3 linked regions of the Oreochromis niloticus genome follow. The main gene of each other region encodes a partner of the protein of the gene in region 3 in a complex. Links are inferred from orthologs where the notes say so. Each region holds a gene or a part of one and is shown on either strand. Other genes may lie near its edges.

Region 1 (5,809 bases), on a different chromosome or scaffold from region 3:
CGAGCCGCAGCATTCTGAGCAAGCTGTAATCGTTGGATGTGAGTGAGTTGGAGTCCAGAGTAGAGCGAGTTACAATAATCTAATCTGGAGGTCACAAAGGCATGGAAAAGTTTTTCAAGAACTTTGTACGGTATTAAACGTTTGACCTTAGAAATTTGGTGCAATTGGAAGAAGCCAGATTTAACCACAGAGGAAACCTGTTTATCCAGCTTAAACGAACTATCCAGGAAAACGCCTAGATTACTTACAGTGTCTGTAAGAAAGCAAGCAAAAGGACCAAATCGGGCAGCTAGCTGATCTCGTGGAGTGTGACTATCAAACACCATAATCTCAGTTTTCTTATCATTTAAAATGAGAGAATTGGCTGACAGCCACTCTGTGACCTCTTTCAAGCAGTCACACAACCGATTCAATGAAGCTAGCAGGTCATCAGACAATTGAAAACAGATTTAATAATGTGTTGGTCCCCCTTTTGCTGCCAAAGCAGGTCAGACCTGTTGAGCCATGGACTCCACCATAGCTTTGAAGGTGTGCTATGGTATCTGGCACCAATATGTTAGCAACAGATGCTTTCATTCTTGTAAGATGCGAGGTTAGGCCATTTATGGGATTTATTTGTCCAGCACATCCACCAGATACTGGATTGGATTGGGATCTGGGGAACTTGGAACTTCCTTTTTTTGGACTACTATTGTTAGATACTGAGCAGGAACAGCCCGAAAAAGATGCATTTTGGAAATGATCAGTGTAATTCTCTTTATCTGTCAAAGATCATAATGTGATGCCTGAAGTGTAAATCTATCAAAATGTCCTAATATGATGTATTGTATCGTGTTAAATGTGTGTCTCATACTTGGCACAGCGGACCCAGTTGATGTGCTGGTTGAGAGAGAAGAGGAACTTTTGCCTGTGGGTTGTCCACACTTTAATTGTCTTGTCATCAGAGGCCGTGACCAGAGTCTGTCCATCACCAGAAAAGTTAACACTGCGCACAGTGGCAGTGTGAGCCCTGAATACTGTTGACTCAGCCTTCCTGTATGGACACAAGACATTACTTAAGTTTAAAACAAACAAGCAAAACCCAGAAGGTGTTCAGCAATGTGTGCCTTCCTCCATGCTGGCAGAAGGAGACAAACAACATTCAGTAGTTGCTGCTCTTTATGAGTCACGATCATTGTCCTCTGTAGTAAACCGGTGGTGGAATAAAAAACAGAAAAGACAGAAAGATTTTACTTTAACACCTACATGCTTGGCACCCAAAGACGTACAGTCTTGTCTCTGGAGGCAGAGGCCACCAGATGGCCCGATGGGGAAAAGTGGACGGAAATTACGGCGTCTTTGTGTCCGTCAAAACGATACGCTCGCATCTGAGGTTTCATGTTCCAGATCATCACACGGGAATCCACGGAGCCTGTGGCTAGAAGAGGATGAAGCACAGATGTGAGTGAGAACATCATGTATTTCCAAAAAGGAAAAGACAAAGGCAACAGCAAACAGGCAAACAGATTGTTACCGATTTGTTTCATGTTGCAGCTGAAGTCCACACTTGTTACGGTGTCCCTGTGACCCTTGAAATGTCTTTCTAGGGTTGGATCAGACTATGGGAGCAAACAGAGAGTCATGTCAAAATGTTAAAATGTCATCATGACTACAAAAGCTACAATAATAAGCAATAAGTTAAGACATTTGGGAAACAGAAACTTTGGTACTATTTACTAAGAGATTATCACTGAAGAAGTGCTATTTCTTCCTCATCACGACTATGTGGGTGTATGATGTGACTAAAACTGGCCTGGAAACATGAGCAAAGAACCCCATAGTTATGATTTGTAGCTAAAATAATGAGGTTCTCTGATTTTGCGCAGTTATTCTTTTTCACTCTCTTAAGTCTGTCGGAAAATAACACAGAGTAAATTTCTAACTCTCCATAAAATCGCTAACAACATCCCAACTACACACATAAGGTTTAGAATACACAAGGCACTTCTATGACACCAAAGTAAAGTATGGGTTCACTCAATTAATGCTCTTTCAGCTTTTGATTTTTCAGACATTTCACACCAAATACATAAATAAATAAAGATTAATAAAAATACGCTGTTTTGGTTTTAGGCTCCTAGAACAGGTTCACAGTCACGACTTAGTATGACACGTGAATGGAAACGAGTCTGTGTTTATGTTAGCAGTAACACTTGTGCTGCTAGTCAAAATGTTTACTGTGAAAAGCACCCACTGTGTGTGATACATCTCATTGCAAAACCCATGGCCAATAATATGTTACCATGGCTGCCTCTGCTCTTCTGGGAAAGTTTTCATCAAGATTTTACAAGAAACAGCTATTGACAAATATGTACACAAAAGCATGCAAACCGGGGTTACACCACATTCTGAGGCTCAGCATATTCAGTGACCGAACTGATGCGTTTTGGGATCATTGAAACGGCATACTAGCCCTCCTCACCTCAACCCTCATCTTCTGAACGGAAGCAACCGCTCTAATACGTGAAAATGTGCATAAACATGCTTATTTATTCCAGATATCATTGCAGTTACTTATTGTCATCATTAGCATTTCAAGGCAGTTAATAACGAGGCAACCAAACAACAACAGCTGGTTACAACCTAACATATACCAGCCAGTGTTAGGCTTGAGTGTCTTAAAAATCACAGTTTCCCTTTGATAAACAGTTTGATTACATTCTCACAGTTTAATCACTATCTCAGTCTAACAATGTTCAATCCATTTCAAAGAAAGTTTCACTAATGCCAGCAAGATCCTTGCGAGAAATACACTAACTTGTATGTCAGCTAGATAAAAACAAAAATTATATGTAACAATTTTGTACAGAAATGCAACTTAAATTACATCCTGTAAGTGGTAAAGGTAAATTACCACTTAAGAACGTTTTCAAATAAATGAAATTAAATGTTCCTAGAAGTACAATGTGATCTAAAAGTAGCAGGTTTAAATGTATTTCATTTCTTTGTATCTGGTTCATTTATATGACAACCCGAATATGTTTAGGCTAAAGTTAAAACTAATTAAACTAATTAAACTAATGCACTGACTATAACAGGAAAGCTCTACAACGCATTGTGAGAACAGCTGAGAGGATAGTTGGTGTACCACTCCCCTCCCTGCAAGACATCTACACCACCCGCCTTACCCGCAAAGCCATCACAATTGTCAACGATGCAACCCACCCCGCGCACTGTCTGTTCAGCCTCCTGCCCTCCGGAAAAAGATACAGAAGTCTCCGCTCCCGCATTACCAGGCTCACCAACAGCTTCATCCACCAGGCTGTGAGACTGCTGAACTCTCTCCCCTCCCGGCTCCCAGCCAGCAGAATCACCAGATTGGCAGAACTATAGGAAGACAGACTGGACTCTACCCCCCCCCCACACACACACACACACTCCACAACAAGGAAACACTCTCTACATTCCTGACTGGAAACAACTACCTCTGCATTACAATTGCACACACCTGCTGCTATATATTTTTAGTATTTTTTTTAGCACTATTTATATTATTTATATTACTATTACTGCTGCTACAGTCTTATGCTGCATTAAAACAAAAACACTTACCAACCACAACCTGGGACTACCTCAAGTAGACTAGTACACTACTTTCCAGGGCACACTGTGGAACACTTTATTATATGTTAGGTCCTGTCTTGTTATATCCTGTATGTTACCTAAATGTTGTGCATCTGCACTTTATTGTTGTCTATGTCTATGCAGTGTGAAACGTAATTTCAATTCCTTTGTATGGCAAGTACATCTGAAGAAATTGACAAATAAAACTGACTTTGACTTTGACTTTATGCCTAAACAACTATTCCAAAGTTTAATCCTCCTTTTAACAAATGCGCAGTGACATTTCACGCTACTCCCAAGCTTGGGTTTTTCATAAAATATCATTTCTATCTCTCATTTAAAATATAAGGTAAAATACTGTATACATAAATCCTTTTATATACTGTAAAAAGTCCACCATGGAGTGTAAGACTGGTTTAACTGTGGAGTCTGGGCGCAGTACAGCCGCGTACTGGCGCTGTTTCACAGTGTTCACAGACTCCAAAGACCGATTAAACTTCAGAGAAATCGAGCAATTAAGTAAATTCTTCGTCACGAGTTCATTAAAAAGTATTAATATGAAGGGGTGTTTTAGGTCTTCGACGAACGGGCTTTTATAAACAATGCATGAAAAACAGAAACAACTCGTACTAGGACTAATTTAACCCTGAGTTCAACCTGTAAGGGTGTAGTTCCAAATTCGTGACACCACCGCGTTTTCACCACACACGTTTATTATAGATCAGGAATAATATTGCCAATATTATAATTAGTGAAAATTAATTATTCATTAATGACAAACAACTTTATAAAGGTGAAGCTTTGGGTCTTCATAATGTTGGACGGGATTCGTACCGGAAGTGGTGCCTGCGAGGCCGAACTCAGGGGGTATATGGCTATATAGCAAATCACGGTAGGCGGTTACCAAGGAGACGTTTAGCCGTTAGTTTAGCTAGCCGCTAAGCTAGCCGTTAACATCGGAGAGACAAAACAGGACTTTCCGTGCCACATTTTCTGGTTAAAGAGAACCAGTGTGACATGGCAGAGCTGCACATTATAGGGCAGATCATTGGTGCAAGTGGTTTCCCGGAAAAGACTTTGTTTTGCAAATGGGGAATTCATACGGGAGAAGCATGGCGGCTTTTATCCGGGCTGAAGGAGGGTCAGACCCAGGTGGATAGCCCCCAAATCGGAGACATAGCGTACTGGAGCCACCCGATCGATCTGCACTACGCGACCAAAGGGCTGCAAGGCTGGCCGAAGATTCACCTAGAGGTGTGGCATCAGGATTCTTTCGGACGGTGCCAACTCTATGGTTATGGTTTCTGCCACGTCCCTTCTAGTCCGGGACATCACCGAATAAGCTGTGCGACCTGGAGGCCTGTGGGCTCCTGGCAAGAACGGCTGGCGCAAATGTTCGTCGGCGGAGGTCCCCAGCTCCTCAGCCCTGACCTGATCTACAGCGGGGCGGACAGATACAGACTGCACACCGAAGCCATGGGGACTGTGGAGCTGGAGCTGGGCATCATCACGAGACACTTTGACAAATATGGTGTCGAGTGTTGAGATTTTGAAATGGCAGAAAGACAGAAAATAGAAACTTTTATAGATCATATTTGAGTCACTTGCTTTTAGTAGAATTCTGTACTATTTTTTTTTTCTTAACTACACTATTTTTTACAAACTATATGTAAATAAAGAAAATATTCTCTTACTGAAGTTGGTTTCTTGCTGATTTGTATTTTTAATATAAAAATAATATAAAACTGGCTCTTATTAGCGATATTCCGTGCAACCACGCCTCATTTAATGCTGCTTTCTTAAATGCATTGTTATATTATATTATGTAAAGCCACATTTACTTTTTATTTTGGATTTTAAGTTGTACGACTAACAGGATTGTTACTTGGATTAAGTCATTAATAGCCTGCTACAGATTAGGAGTAGGGGCAAATACTATACTGAAATGTATCATTTTGGTTCCAAGTGTGAGCCATTCACTGGCAGCAAATATTGTTTATCAAAAGATGTAGGAGTTCCCTGCTAGTCTGGCACCAGTCACTACTTTTTAAGAAAATTATAAAATGAGTTATCTTACTTCATATTAACAACAACAACCTCACAAGGAAAGAACTGGAGAGACTTTTAAAGAGTATATTTTTTTTCCTTCAGTTACCAGATACTGTGGTGTATGGTGCATGACTGTATTGCACAGAATATCTATTGT
Region 2 (7,326 bases), on a different chromosome or scaffold from region 3:
GATCTGTGCTCAACATGTGGTTTATTTGTGTTAGAAAAGTTAAAAAAAAAAAAACATACAGTAACAGTGAAAAAATTCAAAAATGGTACAAAATGTATAACTGAAAGCACATTAGCATAATTCCATCTCTGCACAATATTTCCAGATACGCACATTGTTGCTGGTGTCTCAGTTGAACACGGGATTGTCACTGTGAGGGGAAAAAACGTCGCCTTCAGGGGCTCGTAACATGAGGAGACGTGTTATTTGGCCCAAATTTCCTTCAGTCTGTTAATGTTGCCACACGTTTTATGGTTGTTCCTCTGTTGACCAGCCAGATGTGGCGGAGGGCTTGTTTGCCGGGCCTGATGGTCCCGTGTCATAGTCCATCTTCTTCATGTCTTTAGTCATGATGAGAAAGGAGACTGAGACGAAGCCTTGCGAACGAACTCTAGTCACTGCAACATTAAATATAAGACAGAGTTTTTGTTTTAGTCCAGAGCCTGGAAAATACGCTGCAGAGTAATAAGTAACTTGTGTAATTTGATCTGCTGTGAATCTAAAGGCTCAGTCACTAGAATAAAAACTGCTATAGGAGAAACAACCATTTCAACAGCAACACGAAGTTAATCGCACTAGACTGGACTCCTTTCATTTTCCCTGGTGTGACTTTAGCACAACGTGGTAGTTTTGGGACAGTAAAGAAATGCAGACAAGAGCCACACACCTTCTCTGCCCTCACCCTGGGCCACCACTTTAGGATCTGTGTATTCAGGCCGCCGCCCCGTCAACCACCTGAACAGAGGAGAGGAAAAAAAAAAATTGTCGTACACAGAAAGGTTCACAAACTGGCTTAAGAATATGCATTTAGCTTGAGATGTACATCGTTTTCTCAGTCTACTCTGGAGGGCTTTTTAAGGCAATTTAACCTTAACTTGATACTTTGATACAAGTGGCTAAAACAAGAGGAAGAAAAGCCCTTAAAAAGTGTGCTGCTGCTGTTTTATTTCAGTTACACTGTCAGGACAACAAATGGCATAACTTTGGCATGCCACCAAAGTTACACAACCTTAGGTTGTCAGGAGATAACGTGGGAATACCTTTGTGTTTTTCCGCATACTGATCACAGAAGCAGGAAAACAATGTTAATTATTCTCACCACACAGGTAATAAGAGCCTATCTTTAGCTCAGGTCTTGCGCAGATAGACATGGTGGAACATTAACTTTTTTGTACTGCTCTGAGATCATAAGCCACCCGAGCCACTGGCAGAGAGACGAGAAGACTGCACACTGAGCACACATCTCACCCTGTGAACTTCTGAAGTCTCCATGTGGGCTCAGGAACAAACATGGGAATGGTTTTCGTATGCCTGAAGAATAAAAATAAGGTTATTTTCTGTTTCACGCTCTTCCTGCTGAAAGAAGCAAGTGGTGTCTACATTCTGACATAGCTCAAAGGTGAGCACAAGTTATTTGAAAATGGTACTTGTGTAGGGCAACCCCCCCCCCCCAAAAAAAACCCCTAAGGATAAGTAAATGAAAGCAGTACTGACTGTCCTGGTGTGAAGGGGATGTGTGTTGCTCCATAGCCTCTGACTACATCGTTGCCAAAAACATCTGGACCATAAACACTCACCACGAGCTGAGGCCCTGGAAAATGAACCCATTAATTAATACATAAATTCTCTGTCTACAATAAGTTTTAGATATTACTTCTACTTCTATTTTCAGCTGCTCCCTTTAGGGGTCACCAGAGCAGATCATCTGCCTCAATCTCACCTATCTAACATCTTCCTCTGTGGTCTTCCTATTTTCCTCCTGCCTAACAGCTCCATATTCAGCATCCTTTGTCCAGCATTTCCACCTTCCCTCCCTCCATGTCTAACTGTCTCCAAACTGCTCAACCTGAGTGGTCCCGCTGATATATTAATTTCCAGTCCCATCCATCCTGGTCACTCCCAGACTCCAAACCATGCATCATAACAGATCTCACCACCATCCTTTAAACCTTCCCTTTCACTCATGCTGCTATCCTTCTATCACAAATCGCCCCTGACACTCATCTCCACCCACTCCACCCAGCCTGCACTCTTTTTCACCTCTCTTGTACACTTTGGACGGTTGATTCTCACATACTTGGTTGGCTGTCTGTCCGTACTACAGTTCATCTCTTGTCACTCTATCATATACTTTCTCTTGATCTGCAAAGACACACTGCAACTAATTTGCCATTCTCTATACTTCTTCTAAAGGATCTAATATTTTTGTCAACAGAAGGCAACTGTTCCTAATTAACCACGTGTTTTTGAGTGTGTTTGTGTAATGCTCACATCCAGATGGATTTGTGCTCTTAAATGTTGTTGCCAGTGGGAAGTTCCATATCAACCTGTGCGATGCTTGACTGCTTTTACTGGCGATTTGTGTGATGCCTTCCTCCAACCCCTATAGAAGGAAAACAAACAAACACACGAACTTTCAGTAGGGGCTGTACTTTAACCATTTGTTATTTAGTAAAGACTTTATGACCCCTTTTCAGGCTAATTGTGGCTTTACTAAACACAACACTGTAATTTTATATTGCATCACGCTACTCACCGTGGTGGGAGCCCAGTCGTGGCCGTAGACAAAACAATATTTGCAGTACAAGTTGTCATACTCTGGAAACTGAAATACAACACAGATATCAGCTTAACACCTGTACACAAGGGTAAACGAACCGAGAAATGAGACGAATCCATGGCACAAGCTATCTCAGGGGGTGCTAATGCTAGCTGAACAATCAGCTGCAAGGCTAGGCTAAAACACAGAAAGCCCACGCACGTTCGCTCCCTCAATATGTCCGTTCACCGTGAGAAGAAACACGGATGGGTTGCTTGCAGCCATTACGGCTTTAGTTAGTAAACCAGAAGCTGAATGCGTTTCTATTTCATGACAGATTCAACCCGCTGCAGAAGAATCCTGCTGCTGATCATTCCGTTGCTAGGGCGACGCTTTTCCTCCTCTCTACGGAAACCTGCTACATCCAAACTGAACGGTCGCGTAAACGCGGTGAGGAAATGTTCACACTGTCCACAAGATGACGCCACTGTACCAAACACCAATAAAGAAGCAAACTCAAACACTGAGTAACAGGAGAGCATCCTGCAGCTTTATATAAACAGTGAACACTATCAGGCTGAGGAGACGGTAATGCGCGCGGTCACATAGTGTACTAAGTGGGGCCACGAGTCACAACATATGATCAGGAAGCAGAGGAAGTGTGGAATGGAGGAGCACAGCATTACCACATTAGTGTCCAGTGGCTTCGATTTATGGGTAGGATTTATTACCATGTCCATTCTTGGGAACAGAAGATGGCAGAACTTAATATGTTGGTTGTCAGCCATTGTTTAAAAACAGTGAGGAAGAGGAGAAGCCTTCCAGCACATAGGGGAAGTAGAACAAAACTGGTTTTGATGTAAAAACTTTCTGGATCTGCACTATTTTTTTTCTTCTACTGTTTAAAATTTACACGACAGTGAATTTGAACTTACATCAATTTAAACTTACAAACTTACTTGTTTTTAATTTAAATGAATTTTATAGATAATTTTGAACAATCATGTAGGTGCTATTAGATCTAATATAAGATTGTAACGCTGATGTCGGGGTTAATTTCAACATTTAGGACTGCAGGCCCCTTGTTTCTCTGTGTTGATGACTGACTTTACTGTTAAAAATCACATATTGCAATAATTCTACATTTAAAATGACTTCCTAAAATAAAAATACATCTTTTTGTATAAAATAGTGCTTACATGTTGACAGAAGGTGTCAATTTGAAGGCATAATAGCAAATCTTGCATTATTCTCTTAAAAGCTCTTATGTCATATGGTAATATCTTAAAAAAATCAGTCAGTATCTGTTGTCTATATTTTTTTTAATTTATTTTTTATTGAACTTTTAATTGCAAAGCAGGAAAACAACAGTCACCAACATATACATATATACATACACAGGACAGAGATGTACCTACATCTATGGTGGTCGTGGGAGTCAAGAAAAAAAAAAGAAAAAACAATAGCAATAGTAATAAACAATGAAAAAGGCTAACAATCGTCCCTTTGTTGCCAGGCTAAATCCCGTAAGCCCGATTTCAACCTCTGAGCAGAAGGAGTGTCCAGATGGGCCAAAAAAGGGCTCCCATGTCCGGTAGAAAAGGAAAGGTTTGTCTTAAAAACTGTTTTAAATTGTAAATTATACTCAGTTCATAGGATTATATTATAGTTACCTCTAGAATAGTTAGGCTTTCTGGGAAAATGCCTTGAATCCACAGACTAACATACCTCCAAGAGCTAAACCTTCCTAAGTACCTTTTTAGATTTGAGATATAGTGTTATTTTTAATGTATTGCTTCAGTTTTAAAGTCTTGTCATCATAAGTGAGAATATATAAATTGTACTATTATTGCACATATGCAGTGCTCAATAAATGTATTAGACTATATGTCATAAAAAGAAGAAAACAGAAATGGTTTAGAAATCTGTCAAAAACTTGTTGCAAAATAAAAATTGCATTATTATTTATTAGGTAATTAACAGACTGAATTCACATTTTTCCACCCAAATGTGAGACACACCGGACTTCTCTGAGGTGTCAGAATTGATGAATAAATCGAGCATAAGATTCAAGCACTAAAACCGATTTTTCTGTTCAGAAATGCAAGTAAATAACTGTAATTTGGTGCCTTAATTAAAAAAACATTAACATGCTTTATTATTTTTTCAGCTTTTTTATAGAACAGTTCATTTAGAAGTTCATGGATACAAGAATAATTATATTTTTACATTAAAATTATTTATTCATTTTTATTAAAGAGCCTGCTCAGACTGGTGAATTAACCATTGCAGAAACAGAAGAAATTAGTTTGGTAATTCAGGACAGCATGAAACTTACACTGGGTGGTATTCTAATAATTTATGGAGCACTTTATATGTTCCTTTTCTTAAAAATGACTAGTGTGCTTGAAGTAATCTGTGAGTTATGAGGGAAAATGTTTTCTGTCTAAGGATATTTGAAAGGGTGCATTTTCACAAAAATTATGATATTTTCCTAAATCTAACCACATAATTTAATTGCCTCAACAGCACCAGAAAAGTGAAAATTATATAGAAATACTAAACTACATGGCAGAAAGCTTTTCTGGAAGAAAACCCTGAAAGCAAACCACGTACGATCAAACTACATCGAGGACCTAGTTGTTGCATGGCTGGGAGCTTTAAATGAAACCCAACGAGTCCCATTTCCAAATGTCAGGTCTGCCCTTCCATTAATCAAAGTGCATGACAACAACAAGCATACACTGTATAAACAGCGTATATGTGACGAACACATTGGTAACCCTAAGTGCATGAACACCGTGTTCTTTGTCAAGCAAATGGCACTCTTGTTTCTGCAAACAAAGATGGAAATGCGCAATTGTGGTTTGCCTACCATTTAAATGCATTATATGGCAAACACACATAAACAGAGTGCAGTGTTTCCACTATATCCGACTGCGTAATGTCCAAATATGAGACGAATATAAGAGGTAAGTAGTATTTAGTTAAATTAAGTGGAAATGTGCTCAGCACTTTACCAAATTAACATTAAACTGTACAACATTATGGTAACAGCTGGATTTGTAATGCAGTTCCACTGAGTTTATTCAGATGCTACTACTATTAATTGGAAAACATCATCCACTATATTTTCTCTGTTTGCAACATGCTGCCACATTTTCAGTCGGGAGGATGTGAAGTCATGTTCACGTTAAGAAGAAGGTACAACGTTTTGCTTAAGACATAATACAACTCTGGGCCTTTAAAGATCTTAAAATGAGATAAATACAACCTCAGATGAATTAAAAACAGGACAGAAACCAGCATGTTACTGCTTATTTAACAAATATTCCATATGAATCAAGTAGTTAAGTAGCAGCCAATCAAATGCACTTGATTAACTCATTATCAGTAAGTGTGATGTGATGATTTGATCTTGTTTTGCACTGCAGAACCTGGGCACTTGGCAGTCATTGTGTCCACCATGAAAAAATGTTTTCTCGGGTTAAATGTGAGACCATCTGTCTGGCGGCTAAAGCTTGGCTCAAATTGGGTCATGAAACAGGACAATGATCCCAAACACAGCAGCAAATCTAGTGCAGAATGGCTGAAAAAGAAAGGAATCGAGGAGCTGCAATGGTCCAGTCAAACCGATTGAAATGCTATGGACTTTCAGAGAGCTGTGCATGAGTGAATTCCCGCAAACCTCAATGAATGAATGTAAGGAAGAGTACAAGAAACCGATTACTTTAAGTTATTGCTGCTAAAAGTGGTTCTACAAGCTACTAAATCAATCAATAAAAAATCAGCAAAGATGTTGTTTGGGCCAGCCGTGGCCCAGTTGCTACAACACACCTGGCATCTGCCCCTAATATGGTCGGGTTAGCTGAGTTGTGGCAGTCAAGTCTGGGCCATACAGTCATTGCTATCTGTGGTAACCTACAATGATTGATGGGAACTACAACTTTTAGGGGCAACAGAAACCAAAAGAGCAAAAGACACACCAACAGAATATTCATATTCACCTGAACAAAGAATATACCTCACTTCAAGAATATACCTGATGGATAGAAGTTTGTAAAGGTTAAGTTAAGATACAATATTACTGTCTAGCTGAAGTCCCATCTCAATGTGGAGCTAATTGCTGTAAAAACATAACTGGTAATATAGGCCAACTGGGCTAAATATGGATGAAACTGTTTCACGATGAACCACACTGTAACTGCGCATTTCTTTTAAACTAACAGCTAAAACTGCATCAAACACAGCCCCCCAGGTGCAGCTGCACCTTGTAATCTGGGCTTGCCCACCAACCCTTACCAAATTAGAACATGGCAAGTGTTTTAAGTGGACTAAGTCTGCAGTGTGAAAATTTTTTGCCGAACATGCATAAAGAAAACTGCTGCAAAAGGGAGTAACGCTTCAAATCCACCAGAGACTACTTTGTAGCAAATCTAAGGTAAGTTTGATTTATAGTTTTTCTCCTGCTCTGTTGTTTCTCTGTAGCCTCGATGCACTCTTTGCACTCTTTCCACGTTGCAATATCTTCTTTAGTTTAGCCACTCAACCGGTTTTGTTCATCGAAAATCCAGCAGTTCTCAAACTGCTTTTGAAAATGTTCAAAAGGAAGAAACACTGTAGTCCATCCCATAGATGGAAACGCATACAGAAGATCAACCGATTGCGTGTTTGAAAATGGAAAACTAGGCATTGAGCAGCGAAACCCTGTAATATTAGTGGTCCTGTGTCCTCATCCACAGTGACAC
Region 3 (8,022 bases):
CGGCCCTGAAAATCTTAGAAATATGGTATCTAAGCAGATTCTTACTCTGGATGGCATTACCTTGGCCTCCAGTAATGCTGTGAGGAACCTTGGAGTCATTTTTGACCAGGATATATCCTTCAACGAACATATTAAACAAATATGTAAGCCTGCTTTCTTCCATTTGCACAACATCTCTAAAATTAGAAATATCCTGTCTCAGATTGATGCTGAAAAACTAGTTCATGCATTCATTACTTCCAGGCTGGACTACTGTAATTCATTATTATCAGGATGTCCTAAAAACTGCCTGAAAAGTCTTCAGCTAATCCAAAATGCTGCAGCAAGAGTACTGACAGGGACTAGAAAGAGAGAGCAGATTTCTCCTGTTTTGGCTTCCCTTCATTGGCTTCCTGTTAAATCCAGAATTGAATTCAAAATCCTGCTCCTCACATACAAGGTCTTAAATAATCAGGCCCCATCTTATCTTAATGACCTTGTAGTACCATATCACCCTATTAGAGCACTTTGCTCTTGCAGTGCAGGCTTACTTGTTGTTCCTAGAGTATTTAAAAGTAGAATGGGAGGCAGAGCCTTCAGTTTTCAGGCCCCTCTTCTGTGGAACCAGCTTCCAGTTTGGATTCGGGAGACAGACACTATCTCTACTTTCAAGATTAGGCTTAAAACTTTCCTTTTTGCTAAAGCATATAGTTAGGGCTGGACCAGGTGACCCTGAATCCTCCCTTAGTTATGCTGCAATAGACGTAGGCTGCCGGGGATTCCCATGATGCATTGAGTTTTCCCTTTCCAGTCACCTTTCTCACTCACTATGTGTTAATAGACCTCTCTGCATTGAATCATATCTGTTATTAATCTCTGTCTCTCTTCCACAGCATGTCTTTATCCTATTTTCCTTCTCTCACCCCAACCGGTCGCAGCAGATGGCCGCCCCTCCCTGAGCCTGGTTCTGCCGGAGGTTTCTTCCTGTTAAAAGGGAGTTTTTCCTTCCCACTGTCGCCAAAGTGCTTGCTCATAGGGGGTCATATGATTGTTGGGTTTTTCTCTGTATGTATTATTGTGCGATCTACTGTACAATATAAAGCGCCTTGAGGCGACTTCTGTTGCGATTTGGCGCTATATAAATAAAATTGAATTGAATTGAACAAGCTTCTAGGCCTAACACCACGGCAAATTAACTCCTTGTTAGTGATCATGATTGACTACAATTCTTCTTTATGCCTGCATAAGGAGCATTTGTTTGAGAGCACATGTTGGATTGACCAATACTCAGAACAATGGAAACTCCAGGGAACTCAGTGAAGAACAAACAATAAGAACTGTTACACAAGTTAGGAAGGTCTCTTGGAACCACTTCTAAACAACTGCAGGTTTAAAGAGCATTACTTTAAACAACTGTACATAAGTACAAGTTATTAGGATTTGTCACCACTTTGCCCATCTCTGAAAAAAAAAAAAGAAGACCTAAACCATCACCCTCAGAGGAGAAAAAATTGGTTAGGATGTTTATTCAGCAACCCAGGAACCACCAAGGCTCAAGACTGTCTGAAAACCGTAGGAACATCAGCATCACTGTTCACATGAAGTTTTACACCAGTTGGGCTGAGAGGGTGCTGACCAAGAAAGAGAATACCACAAAGACAAGAGGTGTGCTTAGAGCAATAAAGGTGAGGCTATCAACTGAACTGTCAAGCATGGTGGTGGTATCATCATACTCTGGGGCTGTTTTGCTTCCAGTGGTACTGGTACATTGCACAAAGTTGGTGGAATACTAAAGAAGGGAGGAATACCTTCAAATTCACCTAAAATTAACAACTAGATGATTGAAACTTTGAGTCAGTTGGGTCTTCCAAAGGGACAATGATCTCAAAGACACATCAAAACTGGTTTTTGGAATGGATAAAGCAGGCTAAGATTAAGGTTCTGGAGTGGGATTCCCAAACCTCAACCCTATTTAAAAACAAAAACAAACAAACAAATAAAAACTCAACTACCTCTCTTGGCAGAATTGGTAAAATATTCATCTAGAATTATTGCAGAAGCTTGTTTATGGTTACTAAAAACATCTGGTTGAGGTGCAACTTACTAAAGGGAATTTAACAAAACATTAGTAGCCCCACTAATGTAAGGATGTGTGTATATCTGAGCCTGCATCTATACTTTTGACCCTGGGTCGATTAGACAAAATCCAAAATAAATTCAAAACTGTGCACAGACTTCTTGTTTTGTTTTGTTTTTTTAAAACTCAATAAATATGTTTACTGCACAATCATTCCTAGAAAAAGAACAGTTCAAAGTAATCCCTAAATTACCATGGCATTGATACCAATGATGAGTGTATCTAAACTTCTAACCACAACTGTAAGTGCACAGTGACATTCAAATGAAATGGTCCCACCTGACTGCGTGAGGTGTAATAGAGCCCAAGTTGCATTCCGTTGGACCTTTGGATCAAAAGATTTTGCTAAAGCCAAGAGTGGTATGATTCCATCGACCATCAAAGAATCTCGATTTGACTCTGGAAAGAAAGATGAAATAGCAACTATGCACGCAGGGACAATTTTGGAGTGCTAGTGGCCCAAAACAAATTAGCAGAATTTCAGCAAGACAGAGGAGAGGTCATTTCAAGAAGCACATGGAACAAAATAACTACTTTTCTCATAAGTCTTCAGTTCTCTAGCCATTCTCAAAGTCCTGCCATTTATTTTGCAATACATAATAAGTTTTTAAAATTAAGTGTTTGTACTTTCTAAACCGTGTCGAAAAATACTTTAAAAATGAAGGTCTGTACAAACCTGAGGAGGCCAACATGGCAACACAGGCACAGGAGTGACACTGAGCAGTGGGATCACCTGACCGGAACAACTCAATTATGGGCACCAGCATCCCCATTTCTATCACCAATTCTTTACACACTGAAATCAAATTTTATGGATGGCAAATCATAAATAAGCCATTTGTTCCAAAAGACCACGAGCTTTTAGAATCATACTATCAAAATCACTAAAATTCTGGATTAATTAAAAAAAATTATAATAATGTAAATATCTTACTATTATTATCTCTTACCATTATTCTTTACTAACAGATTTACAAGGGCGAGAGAGACAGTCTTTTGAACATCAAGATCAGATGATAAAAGTAGAGCCATGATGGGCTCCATGAAGGCATCTGGTAATGGACAGTTCACTGTAACACACAAAGAAGGCAAAAGTAACACACTTTGAAACTTAAGTCACATTTTTTGCTGTCAGAATGAACAATGTTCGAGTTGAGACCATTTTATAGTAGTTGTATGTCAGTCTTACTTGCAGAAGTTAAATGTTACAAATTTGAATTACATACTTGTAGCTGATTATAAATTCAAAAGATATATCCCTCATAAGTTGTGCTATAACCTCAAGCATCTAAACACAGCAATCTGTCAACTGCCACCAATACACAAAACACCTGGTCACCCATTTATATACTACAGAAAACTGTCTATGCTGTACTGAAAGAAGAAGCCTCAGCTAATATGCACCATTGGGCTCTTGGTTGGCAGATTATAATAAAGCATACTGTGAATTTCACAGTAAAATCCTCTTATTCTTCCTTCTTTGTAACACATGGGTCCATAAGTGGGCGTTTTATCTGCCAGCCTTGGGGGAAAAAAAAATACAGTTGGAAATTTGCATACTGGTCACACCCGTTAGAGAAAATATCTCTGCAGTAACTGATAGAGGCCTATGATGAAACCTGAAGTGCAAACAACAGCTGATCATCTGGAAGTTACTGCTATCAGGAATACTGTCAGATGAAACAAAAACGTGAAATCTTTACTCACGATGATGACTGAGGTGTAGATAATACATGGCTGAAGTCATTTGTAGATCAGTGTTTTCTGAGGTTGCAAGTTTGTTCAGTGTTTGCAGACTTTCCTGGCTGAGAAGTTGAGTTTCGTTGTCTGGGAGGGGGGAAAGAGATTAATTGAATTGATCATATAAACTTGTGTACATCTTTGAAGAGTAATAGCACATGCAGTATGAAAGTTTAAAGAAGTTGTTGTCTAAACGTTTACTTTGATGCTTTTCATTTTTCTAAATAACACAGAGGCCCTCTGCCTCGCTTTTTGTTCCTCTACAGCGATTTCCATAAAAAAAAAATATGCATGGCTGCAATTTTCCTACCACAGTTGAGGCGTAAGGAAGGCAAATCAAAAGCCTTCCTTCTCTCGGATGAAATCCTAAAGCAGTTGCACCGTCCAATCTCTCTGAAAGCTTCCTTTATCTTGAGCTCCAGCTCTCTCCAAGCGCTCCTCAAATGATCCGCAAATTCCTTCAACAACCGCGAGCAGGTGTCACAAAACCCTGAAGCCATGACTGCATCTTGTACAAGGTCCTGACACCTGTCTATTTTACACAACCTGCACGTAGACACGCCTACTGCTGTGTCACGTGACTGCAAGGTAAATTTAGACTCTCGAAAGTATCTTGCTCTTCTAGCTTTAAGGTTTTTGCATCTCTACACAACTTTAAAAGTAAAACTTATCGTGACACTTAATAAAAATTAATATTTAAATATTTTAGGCGTTTCACGGCTGTGCAAGTTTGTGGAATTCTGTAGCCTTCATATTGGGTTGGTAGTATTTTCGTTTGCGTTTCTTTTGTTCTAGGCTACAAATTTATTGTATTCTTTCTTTGTGTGCAAGCCTTTGTGACTGTGATGTAGAACTGTATGATATTCTATGTGAACTGTGTAAAGTGTATATCAGCTTACAAAAAAGTGCAACACGGGTAAAAACATTACATTACTTGAATAAATTAATAGGATACTTCTTCTCTGGCCATTGTATTAATGCAATAACAGATTTTTCTATATTTAAGATTATGATAAACATCAGGCTTTTAGAGGTAGACATAAAATAAGAAGAAAGTGAAGCTAATCATAACAGAAAAAACATGTAAATATATCTCTGTTATGAAATTCTGTCCTCAGCTTTGATTGGTTAATTTGTTGTTTTTGTATGTACGTCAGATTACGTTTCACCGGCTCCGCCTTTCTTTTTCAGCTTTGTTGACTTGGAAACCGTCGAAGCGTTGTTGTTAAAGATGGAGGACAGCACAATCACTGCAGAGTAGATACATGCGCTAACCCTCGGCCAACTCTTCTGCTTCTTATACATACTTTTACGGACTGCTACTGTGGAGCGAGGTTTGTTTTAATACTCAGACTGTTCGTTAAAGCTCCTAAATATTATCTTACCAAATGTAGTAACCCTACAAAGTCAGTGAGCTATCAGAAGCATTTAGCAAGCTAGCTGCTAAAGTGGCTAAGGTTAGTGGTTCACACAAACTGTACTTTTTCCTATACTCTGATTTCAGCAAATTAAACACCATGGGAGACTTAATACGGTTTTGTTTTACTAGAGTGCTAAACGCTTGGCTAGCAAAACATAGCTAACCCAGTAGAGATTTTGTTGTGCAACTTTAACGTCGTTATCCTGTATTTTTAGAATGAGAGTCTTCAGTTTTGGATTATTCTCATTTTGCGCTCGGAAAGAGAAACATCACGCTGTCTAAGAATGCCAGCAGGTAAGTTTCCTGCTGTTCCCTCCTCACTCCAATGGTGGAAGGTTCTTTAAATTAAAGTAGCAATGCCGTTTTTTATCGGCTGCTCCCATTTGGGGTCGCCACAGTACATCATCTGCCTGCATCTCTCCTTATCCCTCTGCATTTCCTCCTTCACTACATTCCCGGATCTTTTCTGTAGTCTTTCTCTTTTCCTCGTGTTTGGTAACTTTATATTTAACATATGTCTAATCTATCCGCTATCCCCTCCTCTGGACATGCCCAAACCCCCTCGGTCTTGTTTCGTTAACTTCGGTAGCGTTTCCAAACTCTTAAACCGGAGCTGTCCCTATGATGTACTCATTTTTAATCCTGTCCATTCTGGTCACTCCCTTAACATTGTTAACATCTTCAACTCCATCACCAGCTCCAGCTCAGATTCCTGTCTTTTTCTTGGTGCCACCATCTCCAAACCATACATCATATTAGGTCTCACTAAAATGTTGCAAACCTTCCCTGTCACGTTGGTGACAGGGTGTCCTTCTTTCCTCTCATATTTATCTCCACCCACTCCACCATGCCTGCACTCTCTTCTTCACCTCACTTGTCCCCTGTCTGTTGCATTGCTACTCTTACTTCTCTTACTTAGTGTGATGCAGTAGTGTAAAAATGCAGTTACAAGTTTTGCAAAATTTTTTTATCAATCTACAGAAGTGTTATCAACAACGTGTAGTTAATCTTATTTATGTTATAAAGTCTAATCTGCATTGTCATGTAATCTATATAAAATGTTCCCTTTTATAGGTGAGAGTGAAGACCGGGCAAAAACCCGGGAAAGATTTAATGAAGTCTTCAAGAAGTACACAGAATCTGAGAAGAAAACGTTGAAAAAGAAAAGCACTGAAACACCGGAGACTATTGTGGTATGTGTTTCTTGTGTTCTATTGATAATTTTACATCAGATGTTGGCAAAAACATATAGAACTTGCAGGACATGTCTTAAAACTATTTCTGAATAGTCCAGAATCCTTGTGGATTCTGCATTTTATGTGAACAAGGCTGTCATGATGCCCCTCTTCCAAAACATACAACATGTCGGACATATTTTAATTGCGGAAGTTTAATAAATAACAAAATAAAAAGATTGTAAGTACTGACACCTCCTTCCCTTTTCCTCTTTAGCTTCAGAATCTAAAAAAAAATCTCAACCTTGAGAAGGACACAGAAGACAATGAGACCATCCTCCAGAACACATATGACCCAGAAGAGGGCAGCCCTCGCTACACAAAGAATAAAAGAAGGGAGAGAGAAATTTCAGAGAAGGTTAATTTTAACAACAATAGAAACCAAGAGGAGATTAAAACATCAAAATCTAAAAGAAAAAGTAAGAGGGACCTTCCCTCTCCTCCTACGCCCGAGGACATCAGAAGTCACATCCAAGAAGATGCAAATGCATCAAGACCTGAAATTCCATTGGATCCAGATGATTCTGTAGGTGGAAAGGCCCCAAAGCAGAAAAATAAAAAGGGAAAAAGCAAAGGAGATACAGAGGCTAAAGAAGCAAGCCAGGTGGAGGACACAGAAGATAACCTATTGCATGAATACCAGCAAAAGATAGTAAAGGAGGAGCAGAGGACTTCAAGGAGGACAAGGGTCAAAGGAGAAGATGAGAGTGCTGTCTCGCAAAGTGTTACGCTTAGCAATGATGTGGGGAAGAAGAAAAAGAAAAAGATGAAATCTGTAGTCACAGATTCAGATCCAGGGTGTGTATAACTATTAGTGTACTATGGAGTTATAATTAGTGATAAGGCAACAGTGTTTGATTTCTTTCTACTTCTTTTTTTGCCTCCAGGGATCAAGATGAAGATACAGACCTGGATGCTGAAGTGGAAAATGAAACAGAATCCAAGGGAAAGAAGAAAAAGAAGAAGAAAAAACATGGTGATTGCACGATAATTCTCAGGATTCATCAAATTCCAGTTAAAGGTGTATAAAGGTGTTGATGGTAATCCATTTCATATTTTGTTTTCTCCCCTTGTAGTTGTCAAAGAACAGAGTGAAGCGGAGTCAGAAGCACCTCAGAAACCAGTTTTTGATGACAACCTTGTTCTTGGAGTGTACATTCACAGAACAGACCGCCTCAAGACCGACTTGATGATTTCACACCCCATGGTGAAGATCCACGTCGTTGATGAAGCCACAGGGCAATATGTGAAGAAAGAAGACTGGTGAGACATTTCTGCGATTAAGTTTAATGTTGTGTTTCAATTTCTGGGCACATTTTTTATTTAGATATTTTTACCTTAAAATAATTGGACCATAGTTATTTGTTTTTATTTGGACCATAGTTATTTTTATTTATAAGCCACTTAACAGTGCCAAAACCTTGGAATTATAACACATTTTGCCTTCAGTTCACATTTTGTTTTTCTTTTTTGTAGTCATCGCCCCGTATCCTCATTTTATGAGCAGGAAA

Evidence for each region.
Region 1: ahi1 (region 3) and b9d2 share a complex: the UniProt entries of both Homo sapiens proteins name them as parts of the tectonic-like complex. The link is inferred for Oreochromis niloticus from reciprocal best matches to the Homo sapiens genes AHI1 and B9D2.
Region 2: ahi1 (region 3) and b9d1 share a complex: the UniProt entries of both Homo sapiens proteins name them as parts of the tectonic-like complex. The link is inferred for Oreochromis niloticus from reciprocal best matches to the Homo sapiens genes AHI1 and B9D1.

What each region holds. Positions count from the first base shown.
Region 1 is NC_031970.2:19,646,312-19,652,120, forward strand, and holds b9d2 (B9 domain-containing protein 2), read left to right. Parts: upstream 1-4,406; 5' UTR 4,407-4,620; coding exon 4,621-5,148; 3' UTR 5,149-5,301; downstream 5,302-5,809. Other genes in the region: poc1a (POC1 centriolar protein homolog A), read right to left, coding at 854-1,033, 1,246-1,417, 1,514-1,598. UniProt on the Homo sapiens protein: Component of the tectonic-like complex, a complex localized at the transition zone of primary cilia and acting as a barrier that prevents diffusion of transmembrane proteins between the cilia and plasma membranes.
Region 2 is NC_031969.2:13,172,050-13,179,375, reverse strand, and holds b9d1 (B9 domain-containing protein 1), read right to left. Parts: upstream 3,009-7,326; 5' UTR 2,864-3,008; coding exon 2,801-2,863; intron 2,645-2,800; coding exon 2,576-2,644; intron 2,423-2,575; coding exon 2,311-2,422; intron 1,631-2,310; coding exon 1,534-1,630; intron 1,351-1,533; coding exon 1,288-1,350; intron 775-1,287; coding exon 707-774; intron 438-706; coding exon 289-437; 3' UTR 5-288; downstream 1-4. UniProt on the Homo sapiens protein: Component of the tectonic-like complex, a complex localized at the transition zone of primary cilia and acting as a barrier that prevents diffusion of transmembrane proteins between the cilia and plasma membranes.
Region 3 is NC_031983.2:20,286,123-20,294,144, forward strand, and holds the start of ahi1 (jouberin), read left to right. Parts: upstream 1-5,017; 5' UTR 5,018-5,190; exon of another isoform or gene 5,191-5,313; intron 5,314-5,491; 5' UTR 5,492-5,560; coding exon 5,561-5,570; intron 5,571-6,350; coding exon 6,351-6,469; intron 6,470-6,728; coding exon 6,729-7,309; intron 7,310-7,398; coding exon 7,399-7,487; intron 7,488-7,587; coding exon 7,588-7,774; intron 7,775-7,987; coding exon 7,988-8,022. Other genes in the region: vacuolar protein 8, read right to left, coding at 2,396-2,515, 2,793-2,912, 3,067-3,186, 3,824-3,943, 4,167-4,356. UniProt on the Homo sapiens protein: Involved in vesicle trafficking and required for ciliogenesis, formation of primary non-motile cilium, and recruitment of RAB8A to the basal body of primary cilium.